Linked DNA regions of Callithrix jacchus. The protein of the gene in region 1 purifies or fractionates together with the protein of each later gene. This does not show direct contact. Links are inferred from orthologs where the notes say so. Each region holds a gene or a part of one and is shown in the gene's direction. Other genes may lie near its edges.

What was found.
Region 2: the proteins of CCT4 (region 1) and WDR5 purify together in Homo sapiens (affinity purification with mass spectrometry; 3 studies listed by BioGRID and IntAct, with this or other methods). This does not show direct contact. The link is inferred for Callithrix jacchus from reciprocal best matches to the Homo sapiens genes CCT4 and WDR5.

The regions. Positions count from the first base shown.
Region 1 is NC_133515.1:52,246,198-52,253,352, forward strand, and holds part of CCT4 (T-complex protein 1 subunit delta), read left to right. Parts: intron 1-2,317; coding exon 2,318-2,426; intron 2,427-3,378; coding exon 3,379-3,521; intron 3,522-5,720; coding exon 5,721-5,842; intron 5,843-6,152; coding exon 6,153-6,285; intron 6,286-6,959; coding exon 6,960-7,099; intron 7,100-7,155. UniProt on the Homo sapiens protein: Component of the chaperonin-containing T-complex (TRiC), a molecular chaperone complex that assists the folding of actin, tubulin and other proteins upon ATP hydrolysis.
Region 2 is NC_133502.1:182,701,300-182,708,554, forward strand, and holds the start of WDR5 (WD repeat-containing protein 5), read left to right. Parts: upstream 1-2,652; 5' UTR 2,653-2,778; intron 2,779-3,117; 5' UTR 3,118-3,236; exon of another isoform or gene 3,237-3,434; intron 3,435-6,425; 5' UTR 6,426-6,483; coding exon 6,484-6,564; intron 6,565-7,253; coding exon 7,254-7,255.

The DNA.
Region 1 (7,155 bases):
GGCACAGTGGCTCACACCTTTAATCCCAGAACTTTGAGAGGCCAAGGTGGTAGGATTGCTTGAGCTCAGGAATTTGAGACCAGCTTGGCCAACATGGCAAGACCTTGTCCCTAATGCAAAAAAATAATAGCTGGGTGTGGCGGTGTGCACCTGTGGTCTCAGCTACTCAGGAGACTGAGGTGGGAGAATCGCTTAAGCCCAGGGTCAGAGTGCCACTGCACTCCAGCCTGGGTGACAGAGCAAGATCTTGTCTTAAAAAAAAAAAAAAAGGAAAAAAACACAAGTCACCTTATACTTGTCCATGGAAATGAATATTTTTTCTCTCAAATGATTGCTGTATTATTAGGATACGGTACATAACAATTCACCATGTCCACAGAAGAAAATTCATTGTCTAAAAATAATCTACTGGAAACAGTAGTTATTTTACTTTTTTTACCTTATACTTGTCTATGGAAATGTGGCATACACTTGAGGAATGAGGAGATTGGAAACATAAATCCTACTGTTTTTCTTTTTTTTTAACAGTCTTGCTCTTTCACCAGGCTCCAGGCTTGAGTGCAGTGGTGCCATCTTGGCTTACTGCAACTTACACCTCCCGGCTTCAAGCAATTCTCCTGCCTCAACCTCGCAAATAGCTGGAACTATAGGCGTGCACCATCATGCCCAGCTAAGTTTTGTATTTTAATAGAGACGGGGTTTCACTGTATTGGCCAGATTTTGATCTCTTGACCTCATGATCCACCCATGTTGGGCTCCCAAAGTGCTGGGATTACAGGCGTGAGCCACTACGCCCAGTCTATGCTTCTCGTTTAGTACAAATTATTCAGTGGGTAGTGGAAGAGAACAAAATAATCGTATGTAAAATAAATCATGTCTAAATTTGCAGACATTTATTAAAAATAATGGTTCAACTAAATATCAAAATAATTCTAGTGTCCAGTCATATAAGCAAAAACTAATTCATTAGAAATAAATTTCTATCAGCTGGGAGTAGTGGCTCATGCCTGTAATTTCAGCACTTTGGGAGGCCGAGGTGGGTGGATCACGAGGTCAGAAGTTTGAGACCAGCCTGACCAACATGGCGAAACCACATCTCTACTAAAAAATATATACAAAAATTAGCCAGGTGTGGTGGTGCATGCCTGTAATCCCAGCTACTTGGGAGACTGAGGCAGGAGAATTGCTTGAACCTGGGAGGTAGAGATTGCAGTGAGCTGAGATCACACCATTGCACTCCACCCTGGTCAACAAGAGCGAAACTCTGTCTCAAAACAAACAGAAAAAAATTAATTTCTATCAAAAAAATCCCTTAAGTTATGTAAAGATGGCTTTCTAAATGAATCAGATTATGATTACAAGGGGTCTATTCAAATAAACCTGGCAAAAGACTTAAATTGATACTCTGAGTTTGGATATGATCATTCATGCCTGTAATCTCAACACTTTGGGAGGCTGAAAGCAGGAGAATTGCTTGAGCCCAGGAGTTTGAGACCCATTCTAGGCAACATAATGGGACCCCATCTCTATAAAACAAAAATTGTATTTTAAAATAGTGAGATGTGTTAGCACATACATATAGCCTTAAGTACTCGGGAGACCGAGATAGGAGGATCGCTTGAGCCCAGGAGGTGAAGGCTGCCGTGAGCCCTGATTACACTGCTGTACTTCAGCTTGGGTGACAGTGAGACACTGTCTCAAAAAAAAAAAGTTTGATGCTCTAGGCTCATCTGGAATGCCCCGTTATCTTAGCTTCCAAGTCTATAGAGTATTCCTGATACAGCATTTTTGCTTTCTGATTCGAACTTCTAAGTACCAGGGCAGTGGGAGATTACAACCCACAATCCAAACTGAAGATCATATATTAGTCTTTAATTTTTTTTTTTTTTTTGAGATGGAGTTTCACTCTTCTTACCCAGGCTGGAGTGCAATGGCGCGATCTTGGCTCACCACAACCTCTGCCTCCTGGGTTCAGGCAATTCTACCTCAGCCTCCTGAGTAGCTGGGATTACAGACACGTGCCACCATGCCCAGCTAATTCTTTGTATTTTTAGTAGAGACGGGGTTTCACCATGTTGACCAGGATGGTCTCAATCTCTTGACCTTGTGATCCACCCGCCTCGGCCTCCCAAAGTGCCACCGTGCCCGGCCCTAGTCTTTAATTTTAAATGAAACCCAAGGTCGACAACAAATCAGAAAACAAGAATTATGCTGAATCCTCAGATTCTGTTTGTGATAGTGGTATGATCATTTGCATTAGGTGTTACTGGATTCTCTCATTTCTCATTGCGCAACTTGGCATGTTCTGTTCACTTAGCTGGTGGAGCTGTCTAAGGCTCAAGATATAGAAGCAGGAGATGGTACCACATCAGTAGTCATCATTGCTGGCTCTCTCTTAGATTCTTGTACCAAGCTTCTTCAGAAAGGTGGGTAGAATGTGCTTTATTACTGAATAAAGAAAAGTTTAAAAGAACAAACTTTAGGAAAAGCCAGGTTATAAGTAAGTAATATGGGATTTAAGATTTGATTTAGAATAGCTAATCTTTTTACCAAGAATTTTTAAAGTTTTAGATTTTGCTATATTTGTGATAGTAATTAGAAGAAAATTTCCTTTGGCTTCTGATATTTGCTGGGCTCCTTTTTGAATGGAAATCAATTTTGCCATTCAAAAATGACTGGTATTAATATTACCAATCTTAGACTCTTAGGAAAGATGATTTGGGAGAGAAAGTCAGGATTGTCCTTGCTTTAGTAGATAGTGTTTAATCATAGTAGTGACTTTCCAGTCACTTACTCTACGTATTATGTAGACTTGTGATATTTTGAAAAGTATCAGCTAGGTGTGATGACTCATACTTGTAGTCCCAGCACTTCGGGAGGCTGAGGCTGGCAGATAAGTTTAGCCCAAGGAGTTTGAGAGCAAACTAGGCAACATGGCAAAACCCTGTCTCTACTAAAAAGAAAAAAATTGCCAGGTGTGATGGTATGTAACTGTAGTCCCAGCTACTCAGTAGGAGGATTGCTTGAGCCTGGGAGGTGGACGCTGTAGTGAGCAGAGATCAGGCCACTGCACTCCAGCCTGGGTGACAGAGTGAGACCCCATCTTAGAAAGAAAGAAAGGTATAAAATTTGGATTTTTAAGTATGTGATTGATCTATTTTAAATTACATGGAAATAAATTATTAGCCATAGTTAGCAGGTAATTCAAACCACTATTTTTACAACTGAAGCATACTTTTGTATATAATAGCATACCTTTGTATAATATAGATTTTGTATTTGTGCTTGCTTTGACATTAGTAAAAGAAAAATTTTAAGTTTTGTCAAATCTGTAGTTTACCTGTTATAATTAGATAACTAGGCTTTCACAAATAACAGGGATTCATCCAACCATCATTTCCGAGTCATTCCAGAAGGCCCTGGAAAAGGGAATTGAAATCTTGACTGACATGTCTCGACCTGTGGAACTGAGTGACAGAGAAACTTTGTTAAATAGTGCAACCACTTCATTGAACTCAAAGGTAAGACAAGCACTAATGGATAGTTGTCAAATTAAAGTGTGTTTTCTGTGATCCTTGATGCTATACAATACATAAAAACAGTCTCAAGAAGCAGTAACGGATAGTGGTTAAATTAAAGCATGTTATTCTATGCTCCTTGATGCTATATAATACGTAAAAACTAAGTCTCAAGATTGACTGGATAACTTAAAATCTGTATAACTGAATTGGTTTAAGTAAGATTATGAGAAGAAATGAGCCATGAGGCTAACAAAGGAGCTAGAATATTTAATGTATACTGTATCCATATCCAATCATTGTAACAGTGTTTTCATAAAGCTGGATATTTTAATTTGCCTGTTAGAAACCTTTTCATCTACCAAATCAGAAAGTCTGCCGTAGGATCACTAGTAGTATAGCTAATTTTTTTTTTTCTCAAAATCCTTTTTTTTTTGGAGACGGAGTTTGGCTCTTGTCACCCAGGCTGGAGTGCAATGGCGCGATCTCGGCTCACTGCAACCTCCACCTACTGGGTTCAGGCAATTCTCCTGCCTCAGCCTCCCGAGTAGCTGGGATTACAGGCACACACCACCATGTCCAGCTAAAAATTTTTATTGAATACTTAATATGGTGGGCATTGTGATAAGTTTTTTTTTTTGAGATGGAGTTTCGCTCTTGTTAACCAGGCTGGAGTGCAATGGCGCGATCTCGGCTCACCGCAACCTCTGCCTCCTGGGTTCAGGCAGTTCTGCCTCAGCCTCCTGAGTAGCTGGGATTACAGGCACGCATTACCGTGCCCAGCTAATTTTTTGTAATTTTAGTAGAGACCGGGTTTCACCATGTTGACCAGGATGGTCTCCATCTCTTGACCTCGTGATCCACCCGCCTCGGCCTCCCAAAGTGCTGGGATTACAGGCGTGAGCCACCGCGCCCTGCCCGAGTTTTTTACGTTTATTTATCCTCTTCAAGGCCTTCAGGTAGTCACATCCCCATTTTATAGAATAAAAGAGTAGATCTAGAGAAGTAAGTTATCTGAGGACCAGTAACAGAAAGAGCTGAGATTTGAACCCAGGACAGGCTGCCCATCGTGGTCCGTCCCTTAACTAATACATATGCTGCTTTTCTTAGTTATCAAACTTAAAGCGGTGTTGTACTTTTAAATTTCTTTGGAATTCATGTCACCTGTTTTCTGTAATGTTCTGTGTTTATCCCTCCCTCCCCCTAATCATTTTTCCTTTAAAAAAAAAAAAAAAAAAAGGGAGTATTGGGCCGGGTGCAGTGGCTCACGCCTGTAATCCCAACACTTTAGGAGGCCAAGGAGGGCAGATCATGAGGTCAAGAGATCAAGACCATCCTGGCCAACATGGTGAAACCCCATTTCTACTAAAAATATAAAAATAAACCGGGCGTGGTGGCGGACACCCGTAGTCCCAGCTACTCAGGAGGCTGAGGCAGGAGAATTGCTTGAACCCAGGAGGCAGAGGTTGCAGTGAGCCCAGGTCACGCCACTGCACTCCAGCCTGTCAGCAGAGCGAGACTCCGTCTCAAAAAGAAAGCAGTATTAAGTCCATAGATTCATTTTGTTTGAATGTTAGATAGTGTTAGGGACGCTAAGTGATACTGTTGGATGTTCCCATAACTAATACAGTTAGTATACCATAATGATTACAAACACTAGTCATTGAGTCTCTAGACTGCTTGTGTTTTTTCAGTGCTGACTTCACCACTTAACAAAGCTGTTAGTTTGGGCAAATGACTTAACCTCTTGGTTTCAGTTTTTCAGAGAAGATTGAGTTAATATGTAAAGTTCGAAGGCCACTGCCTGGCATATATTAAATGATTGATAAATGTTAGCAATTTTTATGAGCCCCTCATCAGGAATGTACATATCTAACATTAATGTCTCATCACACATTAATTTTAGATAGGAAATATTCACATTATGCTTTTTGAATTTCCAATAAGACTTTGATATTCTACAGTCTGAGCTACTATATTAATGAAAGAAAAAAGCAAACATACATGTTTTTATTTTGTACCCCTGGTGACAACATAAATGGAAAAGACAGTTTATGGGCTGTCTTCTCATGTGTGTTTACCTCTTCCCAACCAAACCCCATTGTAGAAATTATTAGAGCACTTCTTAAGTATCTTTGTCATAGAAAAATTAAGACTTATTTCTACTGTGAAGGTAACCTTTTTTTTTTTAAATAATTCTAGGTTGTTTCTCAGTATTCAAGTCTGCTTTCTCCAATGAGTGTAAATGCAGTGATGAAAGTGATTGACCCAGGAACAGCCACCAGTGTAGATCTTAGAGATATTAAAATAGTTAAGAAGCTTGGGTAAGCATATCTAATTATAACTTGAATAAAAGGTTGAAAATGAGCATAAATAAGGTAAAAACACCTAGATGAGTCACAAAGCTCTCTTTTCTCTGGTTTTGTTTTCATGAGAACTTGTATTAGTATGGAAATCTCAAGGTTTTGTTTATATTATGATAGTAAGTAGTGGATCAAAGAGATCCAGGAATGGGGCAATAACAGATTTTGTTAGCACATTTTATTGAACTGATGACTTTTAATCTGTTAACAAAATGTACAGATGTCCACTCCCTCTTAACTACTACCCCTCCTTGTTTTCTCTTTTTCTCAGTGGGACAATTGATGACTGTGAGTTGGTGGAAGGGCTGGTTCTCACCCAAAAAGTGTCAAATTCCGGCATAACCAGAGTTGAAAAGGCCAAGATTGGACTTATTCAGTTTTGCTTATCTGCTCCCAAAACAGATGTAAGTAGAAATGAAATTGATTCCCTTTGTGTTTAACCTTTTAATAATTCAGGCATTTGTTTTTTAAAAACAGAGAATACTGCTAGTGATTTAAAGCATAGATCTCAAAAGAATTATTAGAATTGAGACAAAAACAGAAGTTGTTGGTGCTACAAGTGACAAGTCTATATCCTCAGTTTGGATATTGAAATTGAAAGCTAGCCGATTGTAGTCCTAGCTGCTTGGGAGGTTCAAGCAGAAAAATTGCTTGAACCTAGGAGTTTGAGACTGCAGTGTGCTCTTCCATCACTTGTGAATAGCCCCTGCACTCTAGCCTGGGCAACATAGTGGGACCCCATCTTTTCATTGTCATCATTGTTGATCTACAAATTCACACAGATTAAAAAGGGACCCCATCTTTTAAAAACAATGAAAATAGGATAATCATTTTACATTTTTTGGTTATAAAAAAGTACTTGCAAAAAAGTAAGATAGCAATGTATTTAGTTGAAAGTAAAAGACTCAAGTTTGGGGCATATATCTTTCCAGACTCTTCTATGCATGTCTGTATAATTTATTGCTTGGTATAATTTTGGTTGAATTTCTACAGTACATAGTATTTTCACTTAAAAGTCATCTATGTTTGAACTTAAAATATCTTACAATGCAAATTATAATGTTCTTTTTCTGAACAGATGGATAATCAAATAGTGGTTTCTGACTATGCCCAGATGGACCGAGTGCTTCGAGAAGAGAGAGCCTATATTTTAAATTTAGTGAAGCAAATTAAAAAAACAGGATGTAATGTCCTTCTTATACAGAAGTCTATTCTAAGGTATGGGGCTATTTATTTTATTCATCTCTTAATGATAAATGATTTTGGATCTCCAC
Region 2 (7,255 bases), on another chromosome or scaffold:
GATTATAGGCATGGACCACTGGGACCCGCCAAAATGTTATATTTATTAAAAAAATTGTTTAGAGAAGGCCAGGAGTTCTCCTGAGATCAGGAGTTCGAGGCCACCTTGGCCAACATGGTGAAACCCCATCTCTACTGAAAGTACAAAAATTAGGCGTGGGGGCAAGTGCCTGTAATCCCAGCTACTTGGGAGGCTAAGGAAGGAGAATTGCTTGAACATGGGAGGTGGAGGTTGCAGCGAGCCAAGATAGTGTCATTGCACTGCATCTGGGTGACAAGAGGGAGAGACTCCGACTCAAAAAAAAAAAAAAATTGTTCAGAGAAGCAGTTCTATTTTCAAATTCACTCCTGGTGGCTAAAGCCTGGTTAATATTTGGAAAAAGAAATCTTCGTGCTTTTTCCCCTCTTCTGTGATTCTTGTTTTCCCTTCTATTTTCACTTGTAATATTTTTTCCTGAGCCCGACAACAGTTTGGGTAGGATATAAAAGGATTTAAAACTTAGTAAAGCAAATTTCTTGCCTTTGTTAAATTGCTCTTCCTTGCTGGCGTTATATGGTTTCAGAATTTTGTTTTATTTTATTTTATTTTATTTTTTGAGATGGAGTCTTGCTCTTGTTGCCCAAGCTGGAGTTCAGTGGCCTGATACCGACTCACCCAACCTCCGCCTCCCAGGTTCAAGCGATTCTCCTGCCTCAGCCTCCTAAGTAGCTGAGATTACAGGCATGCACCACCATAACCGGCTAATTTTGTATTTTTAGTAGAGACAGGGTTTCTCCATGTTGGTCAGGCTGGTCTCGAACTCCCGTCCTCAGGTGATCTGCCCACTTTGGCCTCCCAAAGTGCTGGGATTACAGGCGTGAGCTATCCTGCCTGGCCGGGTTCAGAATTTTAGCTATGACTGCAGGGTGGATTGCAAAAACGCTGAACAGGGTTAGAGGAGTTTCTCATTTTTACTAGAAGGCTCTATCTCCTGAGGGTGGGGTGGCTGGGAACCTGGTTTGAGTTCTGAGGCTTCTGTGAGCCAGTCCCTTATTTTGCTCTGCCCGGAGGGCTGAAGGACTGGAAATACTTTTGCTTTGGGGCTGGAACCAGGGCTGCAGTTTGGGAGGCGGTGCTAATTTGGAAGAGGAGGCGGGGTCTGGTAAACACTTTAGCAGCATTGGGCAGTGGGAATTAGGGAATTTAGGGCAGGGGGAAGCTGGTTCTGAGTTTTAAACTGGGGAGTTGACGGATGAGAGCTGGAATTTTAGGAGTTTCTCTGTCTGGAGGTTTGGAAAAGAGCCAGGTGGGAGCTAGGGTGGGGAGGGGTGGGGAGAAGTAGATGGATCTGAGATCTGAAGCAGTGTGGGGGAGAACAGCAGGTGATGGGCGGGGATTCTGGCCCAGGCAGCCAGGTGGACGGAATGGAGATGGCCTTCATCCGAGCTTGGTTTGCTAACCTGTGACAGTCACTGTTCCATGCTCCAGGGCACCTGGCCCAAGGGACCAGGCCTTTTGGGCACACAGATCCACACGCAGCCCTGCCGGACCACACAGGAACCTTCCCTTCTGTGTCCTTCCTGGGAAGGGGATTCCAGACCATCTGCCAGTCTTTCGGTTCAGCCTTTCTGACAAGCGCACACCTCACTCTCCCCGGACATTTTTATTTCAAATGCTCTGTCCCTTTGTTTGCACGGGTTCCTGTGTCATATTCTGTGTTCCCATTTTAAATTGGAGAATAAGTGACTGCATGTTATTCTTCCCACAGGCCTAGTTGAGCGGGTAGGGAGGCCGTACCTACCTCCAAGGCTCTAAGAAGTGAAGCAGGAGGCGAGAATGCACAGTAGTCAGGGCTAGACGACCGGGCCTCACCTTCTAGGCCCCGGGGTCCTCCTCTGGGGACCACCCCCTTGTACCCGTAGGTGAAAATACCCGCCCAGGAGGAAAGGGTTGGCCCCAGAGAGCCCTGTGCAAAGTGAGTTTGCGCACTGCGGAGCGGGCGCGGGTGTCTCCAACGCGGCTCTCCCAGTCCGCGGGGCTGGGGAGGAGCAGGTGCGCGCACCGCTGGCTCTGTGCCAGCAGAGGCGGGAAGAGCAGCCGGCCCCGCGGGGAGGCGCAGCCCGGGCTTCCGAGCTCAGTGAACGCGCAGGCTCTGGGGCTTCTAAATGGGCCGGAGTCGTCCTGCCCGCCCAGGGTAGGCGGCCACATGGGGGGCACTGCGCCCGGGCGCGGCCCCAAGTGCTTTCCAAACGCCCACTGCCGCTGTCATCCGTACCGGCGATGATCCAGAAGGGGCCTGGTCGCCCGGGGAGGTGCCCCGGTCCGCCTCGATTCCGGGGACAACGCCAGGCGACGCCACCTGCGCGGGTCCCGGAGGGCCTCTGGTCCCAGTGTGCAGGGCGTACTCAGTCTTGGAAACGCGAGAGCACACTAGCACTTTCCTGTATGTATTATTATACTTCCATTTTTAGGAAGTGCATTAGAAGGGCCTGCGGCAGCTGAATTCGGGATTAAAGCTTTAAAGCGGGAAGCGTGCTCCCGGCGCGGTTCCTTTAAAGCGTTGGGCCTGCCCGAGGCATTCTGGCCGCAGCCGCGGCCCGTAGCGCTTCTCCGAGAGGCGGGCTTTGTGCGCTCGCCCCGCCTTTGGACAACGCCCCCTCCCCTCGCGCACGCGCACTGCGCCCCCGCCGCCTGGCGCCCGCCGGAGCTGCCGCCTTGTCGCGCAGAGTCCGCGCTCCCGCCCAGGAGGCGGCCGACGCGACGTCCCGAGCGCCCGGCCCCGCCGCCGCGGCCCGACAGGTAAGTGGGCAGCCGCCCGGCCCGGGGGGCACGAGGCGGGGAGTGGGACGGCGCCAGAAGCCCTCACATCGTCCCCGGCCGCCGCACGTGTTCCTTGCCGGGCCTCCGGCCAGGCCCAGCCCCCGGCGCTACCCCCACTGCGGCGGCCCCGCCCGGGACCCCCTCACGGGCTCCTCGGTGGACGGCCGCGCGCGCAGGCCCCTGCACCCCGCCCGCCCCCACCGGCGCTCCCACCTCCGATTCCCTGGCGGGCCGCTGACAAGGCCCGAGCGCCGGTACTGGGGCCTCTCCCTCGGCGGCGCGCCCGGCCTCACATCGCTCCTCTTCCTCCATCTCCAGGGAAGGACCAGACCCACGAGCCAGTCAGTCCCCGGACGTGGCGCTTCCCTTCGTAGAAACGCCCCAGCCCGCTCCCGCCGCTCACTCCAACCGGAGGCAGCCAGGCTGCACCTCGCTAGGTGGGGTCCTGGGGTTCGGGTCCTCGCTCCTGAACGGAGGGTCCCCCGCTCCTCCTCGCGCGGGGCCGCAGACCAGTCCTGGCCGGTCTGCGAGAGCCATCTTGAGCGGTTACGTTCCCGGACTAGACGGAGGTTGGGCTGTTACTTCCCGCTAACGACCCTCCCTGCTGTCTCGCAGGCAAGTTTCCAGCTACCCAGGTCTGTTTTCCTATCTCCCAAATGCTTACGCTGTGACCTGGGCAGGTGCGGTGCTAGCCGGTGGGGAAGACAGATGGGTAAGCGAAGGACCCAGGCCGGGAGCCCGTCCAGGACCTGAGATGCGCAGCGCCGGGTTCCCACCGCTGTCGGGCCGGCCACCTGGCTGCTGTTTGGGATGCACATTCATTCCGGTCTGCACGCAGCATGCTCTCTTGGACAGCATGCCGCAGGCCGATTCCTGGGCTCCACCTTGGGGACTGAGGGACTCCGGAATCCGCCAGTGGCATCCAGCCCAGGAGAGCATACTGAGCTTTAGTTGCTGGGCTTCAGGTGGTCAGGCTTACCTGGATGAAAAGCAGCAGCTGCTAGGAGGAGCCAGGCCGCACCTGGGCGGGGGCGGTCAACTCCTCATCACCGTGCATGGAACCTTCTTGGCCCCCACTTTTTCAGCATCAAGTCGCCAACCTTCCTGTTCCCTTAAAGTGATTCTTCACAGAAACTCCTGGGTGTTTATGAAAATGCCAAGCTTTGGGCTGGGTGTGGTGGCTCACACCTGTAATCCAGCACTTGGGGAGGCTGAGGCAGGCAGATTGCTGAGCTCAGGACTTCGAGATCAGCCTGGGCAACATGGCAAAACCCGTCTTTACTAAAAATGCAAAAAATTAGCCGGGTATGGTGGTGCTCGCCTGTAATCCCAGCTTCTCTGGAGGCTGAGCATGAAAATCGCTTGAACTCCGGAGGCGGAGGTTGTAATGAGCCAAGATCTTGCCACTGCACTCCAGCCTCGACCCAAAAAAAAAAAAAAAAAAGAAAATTTCAAGCCTAGACCCCACCACTGAGGTAGAAATTGGTGGGTGTGTAGTGTCAAGAAACTCTATTCTTAAAAGGCATGTTAAAGTTAAGGGTTTTTTTTGTTTCTTTGTTTCTTTTACTTGTTAATGTTTTTAGAGCCCAAAGGGTGGGGTGGGTGGGCCTGAGCTGGGAGGGGTTGAGCTCCTTTTGTAAGACCGCCAGTCTGCTGCGCCTTGCCTGAGGGTGTTTCAGGCATCTGGACTCACCTAGGTGAGTAGACAGCTGACTGGAGCTGCTCGGCCCTCTGAGCTGCCGGTTCTGCCTTCTGTTCCTCTGGTGTTTCACTTGGGTAGGGAACGGCCACACTTCACTCAGCTCTTGCCCTGACTTGGCTGTCTCCGGCTAGGACCTTTGCAGTGGACTTTGCAGCTTTTTGCTTGGATTTCCGTAGCTCCTCCCTCTCCTTGTACTTGTCCAGCGTGCCAGGGAGAAGGCAGCAGTTGGGTTAAATTGCCATGGCCAGGTTGCACTTATGACAAGCACCATGTAGCCGGCATTTACCGAGGACTGGCTTTGTACTGGCACTTTGTACTCTGGGCAGCTCTACAGGGCCTGCCCCTCCCCTTCCCCACTCGTGTGTGTGTGTGTGTGTGTGTGTGTGTGTGTGTGTATGTGTGTGTGTGAGAGTGTGTGATGCTCAGGCTTTAGATGCATCGTGATCCATCCTTTCGAAGGGAATCTTTGCTGCAGGCGAAATGGATCTGTGGCCACACCTGTTTTCTGGAAAGTGGGTGTTGTAGTTTCTCTGCCTTCCTCTTGCATCAAGACTTTGAGACTCTTTTTGATGCCTTCCGTTTCACCTTAATGTTACAAGCAGCCTTGCAAGATTTCGGTTTCAAGCTGCAAACTAGAACGTACAGTGTGTAAACTCGTTAGATGGATGGTGGTGCTAGCTTCCAGAATTCTGATGGCCAGTGGTATTTGCAAGCATGTCTCAGTGGCTTGCTTTTTTAGTGATGCTGTGCCTCCTTTCAGAATAACCTGTTGTGCTTTTATGAGACGTATTCAAGTAATGGATCTATTCTCGAGATGGAGGAAACTAGCTGCTTACTAGAGAGATTTTGGGTAAATTTTATTGTCAAGCTGAAACAGTCTTTTTTCATTCCCTTGCATGTTGGTCTTGCTCGTAGAATATCCCTGGTGTACTTGAGGCTGCTTTTCCAGAAGGCAGGTTGTGGGAATTCCAGCAGGCAGAGCTGGCTCTGGCTCGCTCTGCTCTCTTTGCTGAGTTTTGTAGCTCCTCACTGGGGGCGAGGCCTGTGAGCTGTTAGCATTCTGGAAGGCAGCTTGGTGCCTGCAGCCTGTGCATGGAGGCACCGGAGCCCACCCTTGAGGCGCAGACCGCTGGGTGCCTTCAAGCTTGGCTGTGAATGTGATTGCATCAGTGGGTGCATTTTAGGATTTGGCTGTGCTCCCAAACTTCTGCACCCTGAAGCCATCTTCTGTCATTTGGCATGTTAGCTTACTGTCAGGAAACCTTTTGCTGTTCTTTTTATAATATGTACAGGGCTTTATTTTATTTTTTTTTTTTGAGACAGTTCACTCTTATTGCCCAGGCTGGAGTGCAATGGCGCGATCTCAGCCCACCGCACCTCCACCTCCCGGTTCAAGTAATTCTCCTATCTCAGCCTCCTGGGATTACAGGCACGTGCCACCACATCTGGCTAATTTTTTTTTTTTGTATTTTTACTAGAGTCGGGGTTTCACCTTATTGGCCAGGCTGGTCTCAAGCTCCTGACCTTGTGATTCTCCTGCCTCAGCCTCCCAAAGTGCTGGGATTATAGGCATGAACCATCACGCCCAGCCGTGTCCAGGGCTCTTTGAAGAAAATTGCATTTTGTTTGCACAAACTGCTGCATTCCTACAGACTTCTGGACAACAAAATAGGAAGCACCCTTAAGGGTGGGGTCTTTGATGATTACAAAAGTGACGAGAGCAGGTGTCTCAGCAGAGCAGCTAGAAAGTATTAGCAAGGACTTTGGGTAATTAATAGGGTTCTCAATTTGGAATGGTTTGTTTGCTACAGGGCTCAATTGGTAGTCAAATGTTTTCCTTTAAATCCTTTTTCCTGAAAATCCATTTTTAAAAATATGGTTTGTTTCTTGGCCTTGGCCCCCTGTTCTGCATCTTGCTCGGCAGACTGCCTCTGTCACTGGGACTCTCCATCCACATCCCCTGTGTGACCAGCGTCAGAGCCATGGCAACGGAGGAGAAGAAGCCTGAGACTGAGGCCGCCAGAGCACAGCCGACCCCTTCGTCTTCTGCCACTCAGAGCAAGGTGCATGCCCAGGAGCCATGTGGGTGTTTTGGGGGGCAAATAACGCTTAGAGATTCTTGGAAACCTTTCACGCTCCTAAGTCTAGCCTTCCCTACTCAGTTAAAGGTCACTGCTAGTTTCTATTTCCTGACCACATACCTGACAAATGCTTGTGACCTGCTGTTTCAGGGATCCCAAATCTGTCACCTGGAGGAGGGAGGCCTTATCAAAAATACATACTTGGTCCTGATTGTAAGAGTCTCTGTAAGACCCAGAAAACATCTCTTCATAATTTCCCCCACCCCGGCTTTGATCTGATGCGCAGGCAGAGCTGCATACCCTCTTGTAGACCTTTAGCCAAGGGAGCAGGGCCTCTGTTTCAGGGCAGGTGGGGGTGGGGTGCACTGGACCAAGGTCGGGGCTGGAGGGGCCTCCTGTGCTGTAGCAGGATCAGAGGTGGGTTTGAGGTGGGGTCCTGCCTTGAGGGGACCTCAGACGTTTCTGGCTTGGCTGGTGCTGTTGGAGGTCTTAGGGGGAAATAGTGGGCTCAGATTTAGATCTGTTCCATTTGAAAAGTGACGCCACAAAGAAATTGATGGAAGGCACTGGTCATGTGGTTTCGGAGCTATAAAGATCTGAGCTGAATCCAAACTGGTCACGAGTGGAATGCACAGTGGTGGTGACTTTGTGCTAACTGATCTTTCCCGCAGCC